Mus musculus: one gene and its partner. The protein of the gene in region 1 interacts with the protein of each later gene in a pairwise test. Links are inferred from orthologs where the notes say so. Each region holds a gene or a part of one and is shown on either strand. Other genes may lie near its edges.

Region 1 (3,910 bases):
TCTTAGGGTTTGCATTGCTGTGAAGAGACACCATGACTAAGGCAACTCTTTTTTTTTTTTTTTTAAGATTTATTGATTTATTCTATTTAAGTATACTGTAGTTGTCTTCAGACACACCAGAAGAGGACACCGGATCTCATTACAGATGGTTGTGAGCCACCATGTGGTTGCTGGGATTTGAACTCAGGACCTTCAGAAGAACAGTCAGTGCTCTTAACCGCTAAGCCATCTTTCTAGCCTGGCAACTGTTATAAAAACAACATTTAATTGAAGCTGGCTTACAGGTTCAGAGGTTCAGTCCATTACCAACATGGCAGGAAGCAGGGCACAGTCCAGGCAGGCACACTGCTTGAGGAGCTGAGAGTTTTACATCTTAAATTGAAGGCCAACAGAAGAGTGTCTTCCAGGCAGCTAGGAGTCTCAAAGCCCACTCCCACAGTGACACACTTCTTCTAACAAGGCCACACCCACCCCAACAAGGCCTATTCTCCTAATAGTGCCATTCCCTGGGCCAAGCATATTCAAACAACTGAAATAGTTCCCTGTACTCTCCCCTTGAGCCCTGATTCATGTCCTAGACCCTGTTATGAGGGCTCTCTGCTAGCAGTTTTGGGGTCTAGCCTTCAGTTCTGACCCTTCTGAGATCCTCTCTTGGGGAAAGAGGGAAAGGACTCTCCTTACCTTCTTGTATAAGGCTCTGCTCTCATCTCTGGCCTGCCTCTGTGTGCTGTAGCTTGGCATGTGGCCGGCCCTACATTGCTTTGTTGGGTGCATAAGAGTGAGACTGCAGGCTTGCAGTTGGGGTTGCTAAATCCCAGTATCCTGATGAATCATGGGAGACTCGAGCGGCCGAGGGTTCAACCACTTGGGCTGCCAAAGTTCTGGACTCAACCTTTTTATTGAAATGCACACACAGAAAAGTATACAAATCTGAAATATGCATAAGTGAATCTTCATGAAGTGAACGCACTTGTAGCAAAATAAATCAACCCTGTCTGGCACCTGGCCTCCTTCCTGTCTCTTCATCACAACATTTTTCACGTGCAAGAGGAAATACTAGGAGACCATGGTTCTGATTAGGCTAGGCGGGGTTCTGTGCTTGAGGATTTAAGGGAGGAGCATGGATTGATGGTTAAGGTAGTTATGTATGCCCTGGGGAATTGTTGAGGTAGGGGGGATGTGTTGGACTCTGAGTTAGGGCTTCATAAATTTGTTAGGTTTGTGTAGAAGCAGGAGCTATTTAGAGAAGGCCTTGGGGGCATATGTGGGAGGGGCGGACCGGTTTGGAGGCGGGGCCTAGGAGCGAGGCAGGGCGGAGCCAGTGTGTGTGGGAGGAGCCTCCGCGCTCGGAGGGCGGGGCTCGCGCGCGCGCGCTCGCTGCCGGCGCGCCCCCTCTCGGCCGCCATGTTGGCTGGCGTGTGGGTGTCAAACGCTGCACAGGCTCGGGTCGCTCCCGCTTCTCCCGCGTCGCCGGCGGCTGCAGCCTTGCACTCGCGCTGGCCAGGAACGGAGGTGAGCCGGGACTCGCGGGGCTTGGTGTGGTGGTGGCTCGGGAGTCGGGGCGGGGCGGGGCTGCGCGCAGACCTTCTCTTCCAGTGCGTGGACGCCCCTAAGAGCACCGGCTTCCCCCTCGCCGGCCGGGGCGTGCACCGTGCGGCCAGCCGGACCCCACCCGGCTGGACGGCTCAGCCAGGCCCCGCCCCACCTGAGCCCGCTCGGAGCCGAGAGAGAGGCGACGTCTGCCTCCCGGCTTTGGCTCCTGTCCTCGCCTCACACCTCAGCGACAGAGCCTTCAGTTTGGAACAACCCCGCCCCTCCCCAGAGCGTGCTCGCCCCTCGAACCGGGTCCGAGCCGGCCGGCCCTCCCTCAGGGGACCGGGGGAAGGGGATACTCTTCCCCACGTCTTTCTCGCCCCCGGGACTGGATTCCCCTTCCCGGCCCCCACTCCACAGCACAGCGGGGACGGGGGCGGCGAAGCCAGGCTCCAGCTGCCTTTTGTTCCGCGTGGGATGGCAGAGACCTGGCGGCCCTGTTGGGCGAGTCCGGGTGGGCGAGCCGCGCGTGGGGTCGGCCTCTTCCGGGAGACCCTCGCTCTCCCGTGGGCCGGCTTCGTCGGAGCGCGAGCCGAGCGCGTTGGGAGAGGCAGGCCATTCCTAGAGGAGTCCGGGCCAACAGGTTTTTGTTTGCAACCTGAAGTTGGCCCAGTGGTTTTGCAGGGGGAGCAGATTGTCTGAGCTCCCTAGAAACCCTAGGTCGGCCGGTGTAAGTCTGTTGCTTGGTCTCGGGCCTCAGTCCTTCCCAGCGGCCTCTTCACTTTAGTGCTGCCTTGGGAACGCATTTGAAGTCTATGTTTCAGAAAAGATAGGATTTAGCTATTCTTGTGTTTTTTGACTAGGGGAACTAAGGCCCAAAATGTGTTAGCTTGCCCAAGGTCATCTAGGGATAGGGTGTTTGACACAGCTGGAAGCCCCAACTCTGGGACACTTAAGGATTTCTTCAACGTTTAGGATTCCCCCAAATCGCTTGCCTGCTATTTTTAACATTCATACAAGAAAATGGGCAAGGGAAGATGAGAAAGAAGTGTGAATTCTTCTTTTGCACAGTCAAGAAAATACCCTGTGGAAGAAGGGATTGAAATTGGGTTGAAATGATTGAAAAAGGTGAATTTCTTTGATCCATGTCCCTATTATGTAATATAAGAAAGACTTAACGGGAACTTTGTGGTCTTGTAACTCTAGATTTAGAGTGATAGCGGCAGATACTGGATTCTCTCTCGGTGATCGGCTTTGCATTGGTAATTAAGCTTTCCATCTATGTATTGTTGGTAATGAAGCTCTTGTCTGTATTTAAACGAGCTTGGGAGGAACTGCAGCTTTTCTTAGGGCATTTGTGATTAATGATTGTGTTGGGGAAACACCTGTAGGTCTTGGTTTTTTTTTTCTTTTTTTGAATGTTTGCTTTTGTTATGTTTGTGACAGGCTCTCACTGGGTAGTCAGTCTGGCCTGGAATGCACAGAGATCCACCTGCATCTGCCTTTTAGGGTGGAGATATTAAAGATGTGGGCCACCACACCCAGGCTGCTTTTGTGACTTTAAAGTTTGGTTTTCCTAGTTTTAAAGTTAGGCTAGTTATGTGTAACTGTGTGGCTGGGTTGTTGTTTCATAAACATGAATTGCAAAGTACTGTTCCACATGGGTTGATTTGAGTAATTTTGTTCAGTATTTGGATTTTTCCCTGAGCCCTGAGATAGAAGGATGGGGGCTGTGTTGGTCTCCTTTCGCTGCGGGGTGTATGGTGCCAAACATCTGAGTTACCAAGAAACGAGAAACTTTAAAAAAAAAAAGTGTGTGTGTCTGGGGGCCAGTGTATAGTGTTGGTACCCTCTGAGTGCAGAAGAGGGTGTCATGCCCCCTGCAGCTGGAGTGCATTTAGTTGTGAGCCATTGAAGTGGGTGCTGGGAAGTGAGCTCTGGTTCTTTAGAAAGTATGTGCTCTTGACTGCTTAGCATTCTCCCCAGCCCAGGTATTTGAAACTTCCAAGTGATGATACCTGGCATGGTGTTTGCAGTCTTGAATAATAGCCCATCCTTTGCAGAACCTCTCTGTGGAAATATGACTGCCTCTTATGTAATCTTTCATAATGAGGAATAGATTTCCCAAGAGTGGAGATTCTGATAAGAGTCCTGTGAAAGTAGTTGAAAAGTTTTGGAGAATCTGATTTATGTTAATGGTGTTTTTTTTTTTTTTCTTCTAGAAGTTAAAGGAAGTTTTAAATTTCACTAATAGTGGCAACTTTCGAGTTCTTTGTGGACTGAAGCATGAAAAGAATGAATTTGATTCAATTGCCCACTGTGTGCAGAGTTCTCCTGCCTTGTGGATGGGATGTGATTGAGTGCCATGAGCACCTAG
Region 2 (3,910 bases), about 55 Mb from region 1:
TGGATTTTCTTTTACTGGATTTGTTGCTGTTTTATCTTTGTGGGACAGAGTCGCTGGACGGTTTGGAATTGAATACACAAACAAGGAGCCAGGGCTCAAACCCCCAGCCGTCCTCTCACCTCTGATCCCTGATTGCGTCATTACTAATACCCATCTTGGACTATGCTCTTTAAAAACTGCTGGGCTGGCTAGGGACATAGTCCAGCTTAGAACAGTGCTTTTCGTGATGTGCATGAATACTGGACTCAACTGATCATCATAACTTTGTAAACCCAGGCTCGGTGGTACACACCTGTAATCTCAGGACTCTTTCTCAAAAACCAAACAAACAAAAATCTGTAGCCATTTGACTTTTATTAGTGTGCACCTAGAAAAACAAACAAACAAACAAACAAACAAACAAACAGACAAACAACCCCAAAGCGAACAGAAGGGTCTCTTGCACTGTGAGTTAATAATGTACCTGCCATTTCCCAGAACTGTTTTACTCTGCAGCTGAGGCTGGTCTGGAAATCATTATGCAGCCCAAACTGGCCTCAAATCTGTGGCAATGTTCCAGGATGTAGGGCACCATGCTGTCTGCTTCAAACCAAACACTGGTGTCTTAAGGTTAAGGGTAGGTACGCTAAGATGCCACCCAGAAACTGAAGAGTTCTCCCAACCCTCGACAGCCCTGCGAAAGATACAACTCAGAGGTGGAGTTTAGATTCACTACAGCGCAGTGGGGAGACACCCACTAGCAGAAACGAGTCAGTGGTATTTTCAAAGTCCTACCTGGCGGTTGGTCATGTGCTTTGTCAGTCCACTCAATTATTCTAGGTCCTGTTTAAACCCTGCTGTTTAACTTCTGCAGCGGGATCCGCTAGATCAGAGCAGGAAGCAGCGCCATCGCGAGGCGGCAGGCGGCAGGTGCTGGGCGGGGAAGAGGGTGGGGAGCGGACCGCTCAGTCCCCAGAAGTTCACAGTCCGACTCTGGGTCCGGGATCTGGATCTGGGTCGATTAAAGTGGCGTATTTTATTTTTTTCGGGCTTTGCCAGTCCACTGTAGAAGGGACTGCATCTCGCACTGCTCTGTAAGTTTGCAATGAATACCCAAATGTAAGCGCGAACTACTCATGACAGTTGCGGAAATGAAGACGGCTGGTTACGTAATGTTTAAATGTACCATACACCAGATCATCAAATTTAAGTTACATTTCTTCGATTGAGTTTGCTTAACATGAGGAAGCTAGGATGAGAGAGGCGTACAAATGTTTAAGTAGTCTTGTAAATATAATCTCTAGCCTGGCCTATAATATAAAAAAAGACTACAAATTCCAGAATGCACTCGTCACTAAACGCAGGGCGAGGCCGCGGTTGCCGGACCACTGCCTGCTGGGAATTGTAGTTGGCTGCTTGTTTGTGATGCAGGTGCAACTTGGGGGAGGGAGAGCGGGAGTAAACTCTCCCCACGTGACAGTCCAGATCAGGTGGTTGGTCAGCCTGCGCGCAGGAACTATGATTGGCTGACTGTAATACGAACGACGCCACTAGAGGCGGGCCAAAGACCAGCGCAAGCGCAGAGCGTTGCGAGTCTCGGGACCCCAGTGGGAGAGACTATGGCGCTCAACAAGAATCACTCAGAGGGCGGCGGAGTGATCGTCAACAACACTGAGAGGTGAAAACACGGCGGAAGGATCCTGGAGACTTGAAGGGCGGGTGTCGGCCACTGTGTGTGGTGGGCGGTGGGATATGGTGGAGAAGGAAATTGATGGAGCGCTGTGGGGGGGGGGGCGTGGGGGGGGAGGAAAGAGGGAGAAAGGGGTGGTAACGGCCGGAGGCGGGGCTGGAGGGAGTGGGTGGGTCGTTGGGGAGGGCCGGAGTGCTGATCAGCTGGGGTGATGGGTGGGGGTGGGGCCAGAGAATGGTGTCAGGGTTTGTTTGGGAAGCCGAGTGAGGCCCACGGGTGATTTCTTGAACCCCTTCCCAAACGAAGTCTTAAAACATAGTTGCTATTTATTAGGCGTTCACTACGTCTTTACTATGCTGCGTCAGCTCTACCTTAGGTAATACATAATCCTGTGCCGCAGAAACTATTAGACACATTTTACAGGTAGGGCAAGTGACGCCTAATGAGGTTAAAATAACTTAGACCATTGTGCTGTGAGTAACAGAAGGGGAATTGAAGGAAGGTAACTTGGCCCCAAAGTCAATAGGCTTAACTACTCCTGTACAGTTTTCTCGTATATTCCAGAACTTCTCAAGTTCCAAAAGAAAGGCTGAGGCCCTAGAGGTGGTGGAACTAAATGTCTGTCAACTACTTAACCCGGTGACCCTTATAAAGGCTTGTCTCTTGCCTGGTTCTCTTGAATTCTTAATGGCTTGTGTCAGTTCCCCGAACAAAGGTCTCCCAACTTTAAGATTCTTTTTTTCTCTCCCCTCCTTGAACTGCTGGGCTTCTCTGTTCCTCTTGTTTCTTGTTCCTTGGAATTCTGACTCTCCTGACTTGCACTATCCGGGCTTGGATTAACTTGAGAGCCAAGAGAGACATGATGGAGGTCAGAGCCCACACCCAGTGTAGACAGGCACCCATCTTGGGACTTGTCACCTGGGAAGCTGACTCAGAGGAGAAGGTGGCAGTGACAAGGCCAGGTTCTGCTGACCTCGTGTGCGTAGGTCTTGGGAAGGGGCTGGCCAGCACATGTGCCTGGTGACCACTTCTTTAACCTGAGCTGCCCCTCTTTTATTGCACCAAGAAAGGATATTTGGGACAGGAGGAGACAGCTGAATGGAACCATACGAACTCAAACCTTTTTATCTTGTAATCTGAGAAACCTTACATTGTTTTCTGGTATACTTTGTCCAGTTCTTTGGCTGAGCCAAGTACTCTGATGCCATCTAATGACTGTCCCCACTTCTACCAGTCTCTCTGGTTTTTGAGGTATGGTTTCATTCCTGTAGCCCAGGTTGGCCTTGAATTTGAGGCAGTCCTCCTACCTCAGGCTTTTAAGTGCAAGGAATTCACCAGGGCTCTTTAGTTTCATTATTTGGGAGTGATTCCTTTTTGTTTGTTTTTCCAAGACAGTGTTTTTTGTGTAATAGAGCCCTGGCTGTCCAGGACTCACTAGGTAGTCCAGGCTGGCCTTGAACTTACAGAGATTCACCTACCTCTGCCTCCTGAGTGCTGGGGTTAAAGGCATGTGCTACCATACTGGGAATTTTTTGTCTCTTAAACTGAGTCTTACCTAGGTGGTATCTACCCTCCTGGGCCTCAGCACCTGGTTCATAGCTCATTGCTACCAGTAGGGTTCTAAGGAATAACTTGAGCCACACTTCTGAAACAAATGTGTCAGCAATAATTGAAGTTTAAGTATGATGCTCAAACTTTGGAATTTAAACTTGTAAACATTAATCTTTAATTCACAAACCACTGATAGAGATAAGAGCTGTGAACTTGCCGGGAGGTGGTGGTGCATGCCTTTGGTCCCAGCATTCAAGAGGCAGAGGCAGGCAGATCTCTGTGCGTTCAAGGCCAGCTTGGTCTACAGAGTGAGTTCCAGGACAGCCAGAGCTACACAGAGAAACCCTGTCTCCAAAAGAAAAAAGAAAAAGAAAAGTTGTGAACTCTTCCCAGAGAATTGAGTACATACACACACAAAGACACACACGCACTCGCGCCCCTATCTTAAGGGCTTTATGTGCAGAAGTTTTCTGCTGCTGCAGCTAGAGAAGCTTGGACTAGGGGCTGGAGAGCTGGTTTAGCAGTTAGAAATACTTCCTGTTCTCCCAGAGAACCCAGGTTTAGTTCCCAGCATCCATATGGAACAGCTCACAACCACATGTAACTCCAGCATCAGGGGGTCCAAAGCAAATATAGAATCATATCTTTTACATACATACATATATACATACATACATTGATTGATTGATT

Evidence for each region.
Region 2: the proteins of Epn2 (region 1) and Wbp2 interact in binary tests that used the Homo sapiens proteins (3 or more experiments, as listed by UniProt). The link is inferred for Mus musculus from reciprocal best matches to the Homo sapiens genes EPN2 and WBP2.

Annotation. Positions count from the first base shown.
Region 1 is NC_000077.6:61,577,169-61,581,078, reverse strand, and holds the start of Epn2 (epsin-2), read left to right. Parts: upstream 1-1,391; 5' UTR 1,392-1,512; intron 1,513-1,562; exon of another isoform or gene 1,563-2,661; intron 2,662-3,910. UniProt on the Homo sapiens protein: Plays a role in the formation of clathrin-coated invaginations and endocytosis.
Region 2 is NC_000077.6:116,084,614-116,088,523, reverse strand, and holds the start of Wbp2 (WW domain-binding protein 2), read left to right. Parts: upstream 1-1,528; 5' UTR 1,529-1,598; coding exon 1,599-1,657; intron 1,658-3,910. UniProt on the Homo sapiens protein: Acts as a transcriptional coactivator of estrogen and progesterone receptors (ESR1 and PGR) upon hormone activation. In presence of estrogen, binds to ESR1-responsive promoters. Synergizes with YAP1 to enhance PGR activity.